Drosophila melanogaster: one gene and its partners. The protein of the gene in region 1 purifies or fractionates together with the protein of each later gene. This does not show direct contact. Each region holds a gene or a part of one and is shown in the gene's direction. Other genes may lie near its edges.

Region 1 (6,535 bases):
TATTAAGAATACGCGTTGCGCATGTTCCGAAAGAGATTTCTGTGCTAAAACAGTTCGATACTTAAAACGTTTAAGTTATTTTACATTACATTACATTAAATTGCATATTGAACGCAATTTAACGTTTTCTCATTCGGCATGTAACAATTAAAAGGACTCACGCGCGTTAAAAAGTTGAATACGCTAGCATAATTTAATTTAAATAATTATTCAGAGTTGCCAATTTTTGTCACTTCAGCAATTGACACCAATCACTTTGCGATTATTAGGCAACCCTTTAAAACTACACGAACAACAGCAAATCGATTTCTCAGTTGTGTTTTAATTGCGTATTTAAAACAATTTGGATCGGGCTATGAATGGAACTGATCTCTGATAAGGATGAAGAGACTTAAAGCGTACCTAAAGGATGGCATCAATGTGGCGGCGGTAATGTGTCTGGGCGATACTATATCCCAGTTCTTTTTTGATAAGAAATCGTTGGACGAATGGGATGCGGGGCGAACCCTCCGTTTCGGCATCGTTGGACTGGTGTTCGTTGGCCCAACTTTGCGCCGGTGGTACCATTTTTTGGAGTCCCGGGTTCCCAAAACCTACTCGCCAATGCGGCGGGGCGTTACCAAAATGCTGGTCGACCAGACCCTTTTTGCGCCACCCTTTACCATGGCCATGTCTTTTTTGGTGCCACTCTCCAACGGAGAGCCCATCGACCGAATCCGGCAGCGCATTCTTGATAGCTACCTATCTATATTGGTCCGCAACTATATGCTCTGGCCGGCCGCACAGATGCTAAACTTCAGATTCGTGCCGCTGGGCTACCAGGTGCTCTACGCCCAGTTCATCGCCCTCGTATGGAACTGCTACCTCTCCATGATACTTAATAGCTAGGGCACTAAGTTCCCCGCATAAGTAATACGGTGCCTGTGTATCAAATTTAACAAATACATTATTATCCTTATCTCGACATGTGACTTCGGACTGGATTTGGTTGTCGTTTTTTTAGGGGTATTCGGCGGAAAGGCTGTACATATAGAATGGAATTTATAGTATACATGTATTATAGGCACTCGAGTTTTAATCCTACAAAGCACTTCAAAAAATTTTGCTTGAAATCTTATTTCCCTCCGTTATTAGTCGGTTGGGCATGTGCTTCTCAAAATATTTACTCGATCATTTAAATTTGAATTGGATAAGCAAGATTGTATCATAACGACGTCACGCCCAATCTAACGCCCACAATTTCTGTGGGCGTTGTGTTGTTATTTTGTTTTCATTTAATTATCTGTCATGATATTGACATACCACAAAAATTTTGCCACACCCAAACTGTTATGCCCACTCTTAAGAATTATTTTTCGATTTTATTTTATAAATTCTCTTGGCTGTTTCTATCGATTTGCCAAACGTATTTTAGCCACGCCCACTGTTCCCACTATCTGAATAACGGGTAAACCTTTTATTTCTGACATTTTAAGGCAGATTGTGGGAGGTAGGGTTAAACAACAAACGTTCTGCAACAATCTTGAAAAATGTGGCGTCACTTGAATCTACATGCTCTGAGCTCTCTAGAGTTCATAGTTCCGAAAATATCAATTCTCCATAAGTTTGTTCCTTTCTACATTTCTATTTTACGATTTAGGGGAATAAACTTTTGAAAAGTGCGTCAACGGTATCTTCTGACAGTTTCCCACAAGTTGTTGATATCCTGTTGTTTAACGTGAGATAGACGATTTATGGATAGAATTTACCTTAGTAGCGCCAAAAATACCGCAAACTGCGCACGCACGAAGCTGAGAATGTAAGCAGCCAATAGTGGAATACACTTCATGTGTACATGTGCAAATAAACACCCTGCAATTCAATTCATTTAACTTTTATCTATATGTCATTTCTTAGAAAAAATCTCTATTGCTAATCAGCCCTCAAAACAGTGAAATTATTGATTATTTTTTTTTCTTACTAACTAACTAAGTCTCTAACTACATGGTCATAACAACAATGCTTTAAATCAGATGTGTAAATATGCACATCTGCAGTCGGTGTCAGTTGAAGATATTTCAATAGGTCATAAAATGTGCACAAAGGCCAACAAAAAAAAGTTGTGCCATGAAATTTTAAATAACAAAATTATGCTTTGATACAGTTTGCGCACATATTTGCTGTGGATTGAGGAGCTGTTAGCATGAAATTCTTAAGTCCAATTTTTCAATTTACATTTTCATTGTGAACAGACCTTTATAGTCTCATCACACTATCGATATTAAAGAAAACGAATATATTAAATATATTTATTTCATTTTTTAATAATGCTCAAGGAAATTAGAGAGATAATAAATATTATCTGGCTTGGGAATCAAACCCCTTCCAAATTACTTTCGTACGAGTCATTACACAGTAACAACAAGACATTTTCCATGTACTCGTGAACATTACATTTTGAAGTGTGCCATCGGTTAATTTAGGTATCGATAGTGATAGGTATGAACGGGTCTTAGGACTAACAACTAGTTGTTTAATTCTCTCCTCTGCCTTATAGTATCGATAACATTTACATACAATGATGTGTAAATTAAAGTGTGGTGTAATTCGAAAATAGACAGAAATTATGTTCAGTGACTTGCGATGTAAAGAAATAATAGTTAATGAGTGAAATATAGGAAAACAAACAGTAAGCCGGATTTCCGATTGTTCACTAGAAAACTATCGCCGTTCCATAATTCAGATATACATACAAAATTGTCATTTTTTGCTAAATATTAAAAAAAGTGTAATAAAATCATTTAACGTTCCAGTGTATATTGCATTGCTTTAGAATTATTAAGAAAATACAAATTTTCTTTAACTGGTATACAACGTTGTATGTATGTAAAAATTAAAAACGGCCATGCAATCATTTTGTTTTATGTACTTAAGTATATATTATATTTATGTAAATAGTATTTTTAAAAAGTGTGGCTCTTATTTAAATACATTGTTAGCTGCGTTTCACACATACGAAATTAAATGCATCATGCATTGGGAAAGATAGCAGCAAAATAAAATTTGCTGTATATGATGTGCATGTGTATGCATATAAATATATACATTTTGTATAGATGTGTGTGCACCAGAATATCCCAAAAATTCCAAATGCAAAAGATCGAGTTTTACTTCTCTCAATAATCTTTGCCTAAAAACATTTAAACTAAGTGCACTTACATTTTACCGGTTTATTATATGTATTTAAATTCGGGCGCTGGCCAAATTTGTATGTATGTATGTGCAGTATGCATATATGCATTTGCAATGAAATTACCAAATATTGTGCACGCTCGCCCAAATTTGAAATCCTGGAATAGCCGTGAATATACTTTAAAACTACATAAATTCTCTATAACGAAATGGCTTGGAATAAGTGGCCTGAGTGCGAATATATGTAAGTGGAAAAAAATTGAACGTTTGGAACTGAATTTGTTCAAAGTTTTACAATTAATGTGTTAGGTAGAGGAAATTTTTTATTGCAAAAACGAGATATGCTTATATAGCATACATAGGAAACTCCTTAGCTTGGGATTTCCATTCCATTAATATTTATAGCATGATATGGATTCATGTTTAATATATATGTACAGTTGCGGTCAACATATTAGCGGCAGTAGCGGAATATATTTTGGTCGGTTATAGTCCTATTCGGAGACAGTAAATGGTAGAGCACGTTGGTTCATGAATTATGCTTTGGGTGAGATTTTCATATTAAGGAGTTGAGCCAGTATATCTGAAGCTCCATCTTCAGTTCCGTCACCGGGTTCTTGCTTTGCCGAACCAAGCGCTTGGATGCTTGGAGAGCATCCAAGTTGGACATTGAAGGCTTTCCTCGCCGCGTTTCGTTCTTTTCGACAAACAGCAGTGATTTGCGGATCATTTTGTTTGAACAACCGACAATGCGACCAATTTCAGCGTAGGTTTTACCTTCAGAGATCACGTTTTTAATCAAATTTCTTTTTTCGACGGTACAATGCTTTCCGTGACCCATGACTAGAGAATTTTTGGTCTTCGTTTGGAGCAAATTCAATTAAAACCTTTAATGCAACACCTTTTTTTCAAAATTTGTCGTAAAAAAAACCAAAGCAATCACTCCCATTAATTTTATTCAGCAAATACGTTTTCAGTGCTATTTTTGTTACCGCCTCATTTCGCGCACTTTTGCAGCAAGTGCCCAAAAACAAAAAGAACCGTTAAATTGAGAGACTAAAAATTTATTGCTCAAAGAGGCAACATATGGTACTTATTATTCATGCAATCTGGCTTAAAAAAAAAAAAATTTATAATTTTTTTTAGGATATCAATTTTCCACCTGCAGTAGTGCTATTATTTTAACCTTAACTGTAGTTTCAAAACTATTTGTACGACATCATTTTAAACTATGCGATAAACTACCCATGTTTCAGGGAAGTACACTTACAGCCAACCCACAGTTTTTGTTTTGACGTGATTAAATTTTTAAACTGAGTTTTTTTGGCTGTGAAGATTTTCAAAATTACGATTTATTGGGTGTTCACGAAATACATTTATAATCTATATGTAACAGCATTTCAATGTTTGGTGATCCACACAAATAGAATTCGAAAGAATACTATAGTCGAGTTCCCCGACTCAGATACCCGTAACTCAGCTAGTGTGAATGCGAACGCGAAATTGCTTTATTTTTCTGGGATATCAATATTAAGGAATAAAATGAGAAAAAATTTAAAATTTGTTTTAAAATGTGAGCGTGGCAGTTTTGCGCGGTTTTAGGGCGTTAGAGTGGGCGTGGCAACATAGGTTAACAAACTTTCGCTCCGTATTTGTCTTTAGAATCTGTATGCTGAATCTCAACCTTTTAGCTGATATATACAGCTGTGTTCATAAAAATAGCAGTGCTTGGGACTTGCGAGTTTAGGATAAAAAATCATATGATTTAAAGTTGTAATGGGAATTTTTTTCATAATTTTATTATTATATCAAACAATTCAACATATGTTTCACTTTTATTTTTTCAATAGATATAGATTAAAACAACATAATAGGCAGAAATTCTGGTGTTCACTGAAATAGCAGTGATATGAAAAAATAGTAACAACATGACTTAGAACTAACATAGTTTTTTTTTAATGTGTTAATTAGGGACTAATACCTGGTTGGATTGCCTTTTTTAGCCAGCACAGCCTTACACCTACTCGGCATGGAGTCCACGAGGACGTTTGGGGGAATTTTTGCCCATGCATCCTGCACAACTTGCCAAAGCTGAATCTTGGACATCGGGGAATTCTTCGACACGTATTGTTTAATGTCCCCCCACAGGTTTTCAATCGGGTTTAAATCGGATGATGGTGCTTGCCACGGCATTGCATCTATTCTATTTTGGGTGAACTTATTCTTAGCCGATTTGCTTCTGCGTTTCGGATCATTATCCTATTGGAATGTCCATTATAAGGGCATATTCCATTCAGCATATGGCAGTAAAACATCACTAGGTATATTTACATACCATTAATCATATGTATGGGACCCACACCGTTGTATGAAAAACAGGCCCATACCATATTTATGTCCACCGTGCTTAACATTCTTGAGTGTGTGGCTTGGGTTGTACTCGGTCTTTGGAGGTCGTTGGACATACTGTCGTGAACCAGTTCCAGTTCATATTTTTGACTCATCAGTCCAAAGGATATTAAGCCATTTGGAGACTGGACAGTTTCTGTAGGTTTTAGCGAAGTTTAACCTTGCGTTCATTCGTACATGGCCAGATCGACTCGGCTATTGATCCTGATCAAGAATATATTTTCTTTATATGGTCGGAAACGCCTACTTCTGCCAGTTAAATAATTATCAACGAATCTAGTATACCCTTTACTCTACGAGTAACGGGTATATATATATATATATATATATATATATATATATATAACTACTTTCCTTATTGTTTTTTCAGGTTTACATGATGGTCATACAAGTTATTGCTCCAAGTTAAATTATCTTGAATGGAACGGATAATAAAAATTGCAAGAATGACACCAACGCAAAGGAAATTTTAATATTTACGTAAAATTTCAAATAAATAAGGGACATACAAGCGCCTACAAGTAACAATTTCATAAATAAGGTAGCTTTGATAGTCCTGTTTAAGGAGCGATTGTGGAGATGAATTTTGTTCTTAGTGTGTTGTTAATAGCAATTCTTAAAGATAAGTATGATTACTGGCTGCCATCGAGGACAGGTTGTCAAACCCTGGCAGCAAATATATGGTCTGACAAGACGACTGCGCAAAATGAGCCGATAAATTTGACTAATGCAAATGCACCGATAAAGAATGCAAAGAATCTGAATTCTACGATTACAAATGTAGCTGCGTTTGACACCAAATTGAATCACCTATTAGTGGACACCATTACTGGACGAGTCTTCGTTGGTGGTGTTAACAGGTTGTATCAGTTGTCGCCTGATTTGGAGCTTTCCGAAACTGTGAAAACGGGGCCTCAAAATGATTCCGTCGAGTGTAGCATTCTTGATTGTCCAT
Region 2 (4,939 bases), on another chromosome or scaffold:
CGGTAGCCAGGCCAGCAAAGATAGCCAAGATCTTTCCATATTAACAAAAGAAGATATAACTACTAGACCTACCTGACGGAACCAGCCGATGCCACATTAACATTACAATTGTCGGTCGGAAAGTTAAGCCGTAAATTATCGGGGTTCTCGGGGAAGTGGTTTCGTCTATCGGTATCACTACCAACAAAATTAGCATATTTGGCCACTGTGTCTTTTCGGCCAAGACAAGAAACGCAGGCCGCGTCGACAATGGTTTAGGTAGCCGTAAATTGTCATGGGCTGGCAATGTTTTGGGCCTATGCTAATGTCGATCGTTGTCTGCCCACACTCAACTTTAACTCCCGGATCGAATTGAAACGGATTGGACGGATGGCATCGGTCCTCATGTTTGTGTATCCCTTGGGTTCGTGCTGTGGCATAAACAAAATCCGAGGATCGTGTTGCAGTTGCATTCAAGTTGAGGTTACTGCACCTTCGGGACGGTCCATTTGATGGTTTCGTATTTGTTCTCAGCGACCAGCTGTGTTTTCACACTTACTCTGGGAGTCAAGGCTGACAAAGATCTGAATAGTACAGCCTGGGATGTCTGCAGTAAAAGGAAAACCTTGGAAGGAACACTAAAAAAATAGAACAAAGCCCCACCAGGTGAATGAGCAAAACTAATCCCGTGAAAATGCGTCATATCTGTTGTTGTTCCTTAAATAAGAACTTTATGGTGTTGGACTTGAGATGAGTGATTCAGGTACTGTAAACTGTTGTACAAAGCATTAAAACACCGTTTATACTTCATTATGATAAAGAAATAATTAAATAAGTGATAAATCATTCCTTTTGTATCAAAAATATACTATACTATCTATCTGTATAGAATGAGAAAATCTATTAAATCATTTGTTTTGGCGCCATTTCTATGATTTGCTAATCGAGTATCTTTGCTGATGGGCAAAAACGTCGCAAGGCGGAAAAGATAGGATCTGTTGATCCCTCGTCTGGAGGAATATATCACGTGTCCTCGAACCGCGACGTCGGCAATACTAATGTCAATTTGTCAGGCTACCAAATCGAAGCACAGCAAGTGCCCGTCCCACCCTCCAAGTGGCTTCTCTATACCTCTTCGCGGAGCTGCACATCCCGATCCCGATCCCGGAGATTCAGATTCTGATTCTGAAGAGTCGTTCTCGTTGTCGTTGTCGCATGATATATGAGCGCCCTGCCCAGTTGCTGCTTCGGCTGCCGTAGCCGCGCCTCTTAACTCCCAAGCAGACACTGAGAGAAATTCGTACTTACTTTTGTGGGATGACTTGAAAAATAAATTTGGATTGCTATTACTATCTAAGAGACTTGCCCTTAAATTATTCGATTTAACAAACAGTTCAGTTAAAATAATAAATTACAAAGATGAAAATAAGGTCTTTTAATTATTTTATTATTATTTTTTATTTTTATTTTTACAGTTGAATTATATTATATATAGTTTTTAATTCATTGGATTATTTCATAGGTAAGGACCTCAAAACTATGCTACACTTCTGTGTACTTATAAATTTTATGAATTAAGGCTTGAAAAGTCTTTAACATTTAAGATACTAGCAGAAAATCATTAAAAACGAATACACATAATTCTGAAAAATATTTCTTGAATAAATTATGTAAAATATATTTTCGTTTTTAAATTTTGAATCAAAGGAAAGCGAATTTTAAATATTTTTTTCCTTGTTGTATTGCACATTTTTTCCGAGTGCATTCTTCAAGCCGAAATTGAGCCGGTTATCTTCGTCGGCGTTTTAGCCTGTTCTCTCTTGTTTGCCTCGGCGTTTTTTTTTTGTTTTGCGTTCGTGCTTCGTTTTCACGTTTTTGTTTTCGTTCCATTCGCTTCTCTGTCTCACTCTCTTCTCTCTCTATCGACTGACTATGGATCCGAATCCGAATCCATGGTGGGTTCAGTTTCTTGCGACTCTTTGCGCGGTCAACTTCGCCGATCGGTCGGGCATGCGCGTCCGTATAACTCGTATCTGAATAATCATAAGAGTAGGAAATCGAGGCAGAAGTAAAAACCCGTCTCGCTATATTCGTCGACCGTGTTGTTGGTGTCTATCTGTGTCTTTTGTCAATGTTTTTAACCCAACTCCACTTGAGGGGGAGCCAATCCGCCTTTCTTCTGAAAATTTCTTTCAAATAATACGAAAATCGTATGGAAAATTGAAAAATTGTGAGTGTTGTGTGCAAAGTGAACCACGGTGATCGTAGTTACGGTCAGATCATCTGAAGAATCAGAAACACGCGCCTTGCTCGATTCCCCTGCTTATCAGGCACATGCCTATATTATACAATTTACCAACAGTCTTTTACAATCTGTTCGCCGCAAAAGTTGAATGGAATAAATTTTAGTCTTTTATTTTGCACGAAACGTGACACTAAATGAAGTAAGTTTCGACTATCTCATCTGTATAATCGACGTTTTTTGCTGTTTACAATTTTTGTAATATTTTTTGAGGAAGTGTAAAGTGCTGCAACAAAAACTTATTACTAATCTTCAGGACAGATTAAGGGGTTTCTGTTAAATAGTGAAACATAATTCAAAATGAAATATAATTTAAACTTATTTAAAAGCTAGTGTTTAAGGAATTATTGAAGACAATTTTAATTTAAAAAATTTAAGAACTGTTATTTCTGAGTTGAAAAGAGGATAAATAACATTTAAGAAGAAATTGAGTTAGCGTTTGTTGAACGTCGATAATTAGTTAAAAATGTATGAAAAACTATATTATATCCACAACACACATTACAACTTCATTTCTTTTCTTTTTGCAGCATGTTAATACTGAAACTTCCCAAAATGTTTAGCCAACTGTGGCTTCTTCTGATTCTATCGCTCTTAACCCTAGAAGGCCCACAGCCTTCGACGGGCAGTGGTTATACGACAAAATCAAGTGTGGATTTGCTGGAAAACGATTCGCGATACATCTCATATCAAGGTGAGTTCTCGAGGTGGGCGGATTATCAAAAATTACTCGAAACTGTGTCAATTGCACGGCAATCAATCAAGTTGGCCACTTGAAGCGGTGGAACTGTAAATTGGGTTGATGTCTGTCAAAGTTCTAAGTGATTCCGAGAGTCTGCTGCAATCGATTGCACAAATGTTCGGTTCGATCGAACAGGTGCCATTTCGAATACAACGAATACACCCATCTGCCCAACTGTTTGTATTTGCACGGAATGTCAACAATGATCTCGATTTAACCGAGTTCCCCAACAAACCGCTTTTATGACACCCCAATACATTCGTGTATCTGCTGCTTTTAATCAGAAAAAGTTTCGCATTTTGTTAAAATATTTGTTCTTTTTTTGTGATTTTTGCACTGAAATGTATCTCGAAGTCCGTCTTAAAATGCGAACTCAGCCCAACGTTGTGTTGACAATGATTTTAATTTTTGTTTAGCGCTTTTTTATTTTATTTCGCACTTAAATATTGAAAAGTATATGTTTTACCAATGAATCAGTGAATCTTTTAAAAACCTTGAAAAATATGGGTTAAATAAAATTGAGCTTAATTGTGCCAAGATGCCAAAATGTTTTAATAAATTTGCAATATAATTGCTGAGATAATAATTGCTTATATAATAATTGCTAATATAATTGCTAATAAAACTTCAATTAAATTGCTTAGTATTTGTTTTTACGATTTTGTGCAATCTTTTTCTTACAAAAATGTTTTTATTTTCTTAACAGATTTAATGTCGACGGCCAAACGATTTTACGATCCCGAAACGACCTGGTATTCGGAAATGCTATTCGACGTGGCCAGGAACCAAGTGATTGTCGGCGCCAGGTAAAAACCGGGAGGCTATTGTTATTAGTTATTATAGATTTTGTTTCCGGCCAATTGAGTCACGGCTAAGCCGTGTACCTAGTCATTATGACTGTTTTTATTTTTCCTGTTGCGTCAAAACCCCAAAGATATGTACTGTTTGAAGGACTTGCTTTTTAATTAGTCTCACCGATAAGTGGGTCATTATTTTGGGCATTGATAGCGATAAGAAATGAAAAGGGAAAACACCCCCGAAAATAAATCGTCACTTAAGCATTTGTTAACTTTGGGTTATCAGCAGAGAGGCATTACGTAAAATTCGACGATCAGAAGAAAATAAACAGATGCATTGCGTACGTAAAACGGGTACTGATTATATTCGTCTTCTGTGTTTTTTTAGCGTATTACGCAAGTTACAAAAAAATACACAAAAGTGTATAAAAATGAAAGTGCACGCACTGGTATACCAAAGATTTTTTACATATCAACCAAGATCGACCAAAAACAAAAAAAACCCCTCGTCGAGAACTTATCTCAAGTACCTGCTGTGCGCAAGTGAATAAATAAAGATAATTGAGTGTAAAAAAAAGAATAAAAAAATTAAGAAAAGAGGGAAAGGGAACAAAACCGAAAAGGTAACCAAATAATAATATTGCAGCGCCGAGGGAGAAGTGGTATACTCCGTTTATTTGTTGAGCAATTTAATATACGCGTTTCGAGATACAAAAGTATCTGTCGCTTTAGCCGGGTTACTCGGTTCTTGTAGTTTACTTTTCATTTACGCGTCTTGAAGTTTGTTTGTTTCTGCTTCGCATAGATATGGATGCGATACTACTCCACCTCTGTCGGAAAAAAAAACACGATAAGATACACACATGGACGCATGTGTCTATAGTGTCGTCATGTTGATAAACCCACCTTAACCCATTGCTGCCCGGGAAGGGAAGTCGTTTATCATGTTCCCTTGTCGTCAATCATTTGTCATACTTTTCAGTTTCAGTTTTAGTTGCCTTTTCTATTCTTTATTGCCTACGATTTTCACTTCGACCATAACTCCACTCTGCCATATTTTTTGTTGCTCTCTTATTTACCAACCTCTGAATTATGGCATAATGATAAGAGCCCGATATT
Region 3 (4,684 bases), on another chromosome or scaffold:
TGTCCTTGTGCCAGTGACCGTAGCGGGCACTGGTTGGGGCATGATAATTGGTATTTTGGGCCCTGCCCTCGAGGAAGGGGAAGTGGCGGAGATCGAGCTTATCCTCTATGCAATCCTCCATGATGTCCTTGATCACCGGTGTCCAGCGGGACATCTGGTAGGTGCTTTCTGTGGTGCGCTCCTTGCGCGGCACCGAGTACTGCTTCTTGCGCGAATCTGCAATGACATTGATGCCCAAGCAACTAAGGTTACGCACCATATCCTGATCCTTCGGCGACAGCTGGGCATGCGTAAACAGCTTGGTCAGGTTCTCCTCGGAAATTCCGTTCTTGATCATGACGTACAGGGCAATGATGCGAACCTTGTCGTAGTTCGAGACATTGGCGTCCAGCAAGATGGGCACAATGTTGCGCATATGATCCTTGATCTTTTCGCCCTCGGCGTCCGTGCCCATGGCCAGATCCTGTTCCACGCGGCACAGCTTGTCCACGTAGTTCTGGTACGACTTCATGCAGTCCTCGGCCAAATGCAAGTGGGTGGAGTACTTGGACAGCTCCTTCTGGTACTGCGGCATCTTCTTGATCATCTGCGAGAGATCGCGCATCGACGACTTGTCAGCCGAGCCCATGCGCTTAGAGTCGGTGAATTTCTTAAGGTTCTGAGTCACCTGGGTGGAGACCACAGCGATATGCTCGTGACGCAGCTCCACCCACAAGTCGTCGTTCTCGTCGAGCAGCACCTCCTTATCCGGCTGGTTGGGGCCGGGCGTGTAGCGATACACGTCATTGACGATGGGTAGCAAATCGTAGGCCATGGCCTGCAGGGTGAGCTCGTGCAGCAGCGGCGACACGCAGTCGAAGCCGCGATCCAGGATCAGCAGCTGGGATCGTGCCTTCTCGGGGCCCTCGCCCATGGTGGCATCGTCGGCCTTGTAGGCGTCCAGCTTCTGCTGCACCGACGCGGCCAAATCGATGTTCCTGTCCCAGTCGCTGCGGTAGCGCACATTTGGGTACTCCCCAAGGGTAGCGCACAGTGTGGCTATTTGCTCGGCAATTCGCTCGATGTGCTTGCTCCGAATGGAGGCAAAGGCCGGCGAGTAGAGGCATTGGAATGTGTCCGGCGAGTCCAGCGAGAACACCTGGCATTCGTATGGCAAAAATGCAATGTTGATCTCCTTCAGCGTCTTGATCTTTCCGGCCGCGCACGACTTGCACAGATCGTTGAATAGCTCCTCGGGACAAACTTCGGTGAAGAAGACATGGGCATAGCGATACATGGGCCGCGCTGGGTTCTCGAAGTCTCGTATCAGACCGCGCACTGACTCATCCGACGGCGTAATCAGATAGATCGCGTCCATCGTGGGCAGCGGCTCGCGCTTCTTGTTGATGTCCTCAACCAGGGTGATGCCCTCGGCGCTGATTTCGTGCATCTTGGTGCAGGCGGACACCATGCGCATACCCAGCTTGTCCACCACCAGCACCCGCCATTCCATGCCGCCCGCCCCCGCAGCGGACGTAACGCCCTGCTTTTTGGGTGGTGGAGGCTTGTACTTCACCACCTCGTTCATCAGCTTTTGGCCCACCAGCACTTTCAAGGCCATTTTCACTGCGTTTTATTGGTCACGGGCGCAAAGGCAACTCGATTATGAACACACTGCGTGTAAATATGTCTTTTTAGCTTATTCCGTTCGCTTTTTCGCGTGGGCTAACTTGACTTAAAGAATTTTATCTATTCCTTGGCCAATTTTTCTGTATTTTTTTCGTTTGATGACTTAGCCTTAGTGATGGGCGAAAGTCGATTGCTGGCTAGCGATAGTTGATATCGATATTACTGTCTAGCAGAGACGCGCACCCGTCTCAGTGCGAGTGTGGATTTCTCAGTTAACCGAGAACGGTCACGCTGCTGCTGTCGAGGAAGGAAAATAAAATAATTTTGCTGGCCAACTGGTCGATTTAAACGGGGAAATGCAGATGCAAACGTACAAACTGGTGGTCGTCGGCGGCGGCGGCGTGGGCAAGTCAGCGATAACGATACAGTTCATCCAGGTAAGCCGCCCAGCATCGGCCCAATCCCTGGTGACGTCGCTTTCCACAGGGGCGTTTGAATGTGGGAGTGGGGGGCGATGGCGCACAGGGGCGGTGGCAGGGGGACGGCCCTTGTTTTGGCCAGAGCAACAAACAAGCAACAAGCGACTGTGATGTGCGTCTGTGTTTGGACATGCGTGTGCATAGTTTCGGGCCGAGATCATCACCAACACAATCATCATCATCATCATCATTGGCAGCATCATCATCGCGGTGGCCACACCCCCGTGTGTATCTCCAATTGGGGATCAAGTGGTCAGAGCCCAGAACCAGGGAGTTGCGTTAGACGCAGCCCCCAGTTTTCTGGGTGTGCCGATCGATTCCCCGAGAGTTTGTGCCATGGTCACGACCACAATGACCGCCCGCTTCCATTTATTTTTAGTCATTTGCGTCATCTGCACATCTTTCGTGTATATGCTGTAGCTTTTCCCCAAGATATATAGAGCATAGTGGATAGTGAATGATAAAAGTGACGTGTGTAAACAAATCAAAGGCGGAATGATAAACGCACCCCGCCCACATAAAAAACCCAGTCTTATAATGTTTATATATGTAGTTTTGTGGCCTCGGCAGCTGGCGGTACAATAATTTTAATCCTAATCTTGCAGAGCTACTTCGTCACGGACTACGATCCCACCATTGAAGACTCGTACACGAAGCAGTGCAACATCGACGATGTGCCAGCCAAATTGGACAGTAAGCTTCCTTTCTTTACCCTTACCAGATTCATAATAACCTGATATTTTACCTAGTTTTGGACACGGCTGGCCAGGAGGAGTTCAGTGCCATGCGGGAGCAGTACATGCGCTCCGGCGAGGGATTCCTGCTCGTCTTCGCGCTCAACGATCATTCCAGCTTCGATGAGATCCCCAAGTTCCAGCGCCAGATACTGCGCGTCAAGGATCGCGACGAGTTCCCCATGCTGATGGTGGGTAACAAGTGCGACCTGAAGCACCAGCAGCAGGTGTCCCTGGAGGAGGCGCAGAACACCAGCCGCAACCTGATGATCCCCTACATCGAGTGCAGTGCCAAACTGAGGGTCAACGTCGATCAGGCCTTCCACGAGCTCGTGAGGATCGTGCGCAAGTTCCAGATCGCCGAGCGTCCCTTCATCGAGCAGGATTACAAGAAGAAGGGCAAGAGGAAGTGCTGCCTGATGTAGAAGGAACTAAATGGAAGAGAATCTCCTGAATGCCGCAGCGGAAGCAGGAGCCAACATATAATGATTATAACACCAAATTTTTTGAAAAACACGCGTCGACTGAGCTTTGAATTCCGTTGAGAAGACGATAAACCAGTAACCCGAAACCAGTAACCGCACAAAACGTGTCAACGAGCCCAAACGAAGTGCATTTCTTACCTGCCCAGGTGCATGGCGCATTCAACGAACGAATCGAATAAACTTCGCCACTCTCAAATAGCTACGAAGAATCTTACAACTGACAACTAACAATGCAAAATGCAAACAGAAACACGAAACATAGGTAGATATATACAACAGATTCACACGAATAACTTATATATACATATATATTTCTACATATATTTTTGTAATATTATTTTGTTGATCAACGACAACAATTAAGGACGAATGTTTTCATGATTATTACCAATCGTGGCTCGCAGGCCATTTGTTTTTATAATGCAATAACTAAGCCCAGAACGTTTGTTTCGATTAAGCCAAAACGTAATAATGTGTTATTGTAATTTGTATTGTTATTTACTACTAATATATACGTATACATATATTAACTGCTTACAAACCGATTTTGTTGTAACAAATTGAGTGCCTCGTTCTCGCGCGTAGAAATCTAAAACATCAAACTCTGTATTACACCCACGGCATTTTTGTACTATACCCGCAGCTGCCAGGCGCGCACAACTCACTTAACGATACTTTTGTACATGTCCCCAGTCGGATCCGGATCCTATGGTTTATTGTTCGCCAAATGTATTGCAACAGTTGCTTTAGCCGCAATCTTGTTTTAACTCTTATACACTGCTTAATTTAACGAACTTATTTAATGGTATATAAATAAATATATAATTAAATTTAAAATTAAACATATGCGCAATTCTAATAAACACATGGAGAATCACAAACGCTTCCACATAGAAGATTGTTTCAATGACGCTCTCGACTGGAATTGAAAATTCCGACCCAATCCAAGCAATTATAGAAAGAATCCTTGCTAGTGCTGTGTTAATTACTTACCAGCTGTCTTCCCTTCGAGCTCAATGGGTATAAAAGCGGGCTGAATCGAAGTGGACCAGCATAGAACTCAGAATGAATCCCAAGAGCGAAGTCCTCATTGCAGCCGTGCTCTTCATGCTGCTGGCCTGCGTCCAGTGTCAAGTGAGTGAATTCATATCCCGCTGCAGGATATCCCTTTCTGATGTCTCATTTTATTTTCCTCTATATAGTTGACCTTCTCGCCGGATTGGGGCAAGCGTTCGGTGGGCGGAGCTGGTCCTGGAACCTTTTTCGAGACACAGCAGGGCAACTGCAAGACCTCCAACGAAATGCTGCTCGAGATCTTCCGCTTCGTGCAATCTCAGGCACAGCTCTTTCTGGACTGCAAGCACCGCGAGTAGATAGC

What was found.
Region 2: the proteins of PlexA (region 1) and Sema5c purify together in Drosophila melanogaster (affinity purification with western blotting; one study listed by BioGRID). This does not show direct contact.
Region 3: the proteins of PlexA (region 1) and Ras64B purify together in Drosophila melanogaster (affinity purification with western blotting, with the first as the bait; one study listed by BioGRID). This does not show direct contact.

The regions. Positions count from the first base shown.
Region 1 is NC_004353.4:1,023,096-1,029,630, reverse strand, and holds the start of PlexA (plexin A), read left to right. Parts: upstream 1-2,529; 5' UTR 2,530-2,668; exon of another isoform or gene 2,669-2,861; intron 2,862-3,095; exon of another isoform or gene 3,096-3,415; intron 3,416-5,950; 5' UTR 5,951-6,159; coding exon 6,160-6,535. Other genes in the region: mitochondrial inner membrane protein MPV17, read left to right, coding at 382-888.
Region 2 is NT_037436.4:12,078,831-12,083,769, reverse strand, and holds the start of Sema5c (semaphorin 5c), read left to right. Parts: upstream 1-1,939; 5' UTR 1,940-2,418; coding exon 2,419-2,423; intron 2,424-2,811; coding exon 2,812-2,975; intron 2,976-3,729; coding exon 3,730-3,829; intron 3,830-4,939. UniProt on the Drosophila melanogaster protein: Regulates the motility of migrating epithelial cells by providing guidance cues within the migratory environment and may also play a role in development of the olfactory system. May act as a positive axonal guidance cue.
Region 3 is NT_037436.4:4,137,215-4,141,898, forward strand, and holds Ras64B (Ras oncogene at 64B), read left to right. Parts: upstream 1-1,861; 5' UTR 1,862-1,964; coding exon 1,965-2,045; intron 2,046-2,692; coding exon 2,693-2,780; intron 2,781-2,836; coding exon 2,837-3,246; 3' UTR 3,247-4,184; downstream 4,185-4,684. Other genes in the region: Rop (Ras opposite), read right to left, coding at 1-1,600; Akh (adipokinetic hormone), read left to right, coding at 4,372-4,440, 4,509-4,679. UniProt on the Drosophila melanogaster protein: May be involved in endocytic processes and/or other transport pathways mediated by vesicle trafficking. May interact functionally with ROP protein. Ras proteins bind GDP/GTP and possess intrinsic GTPase activity.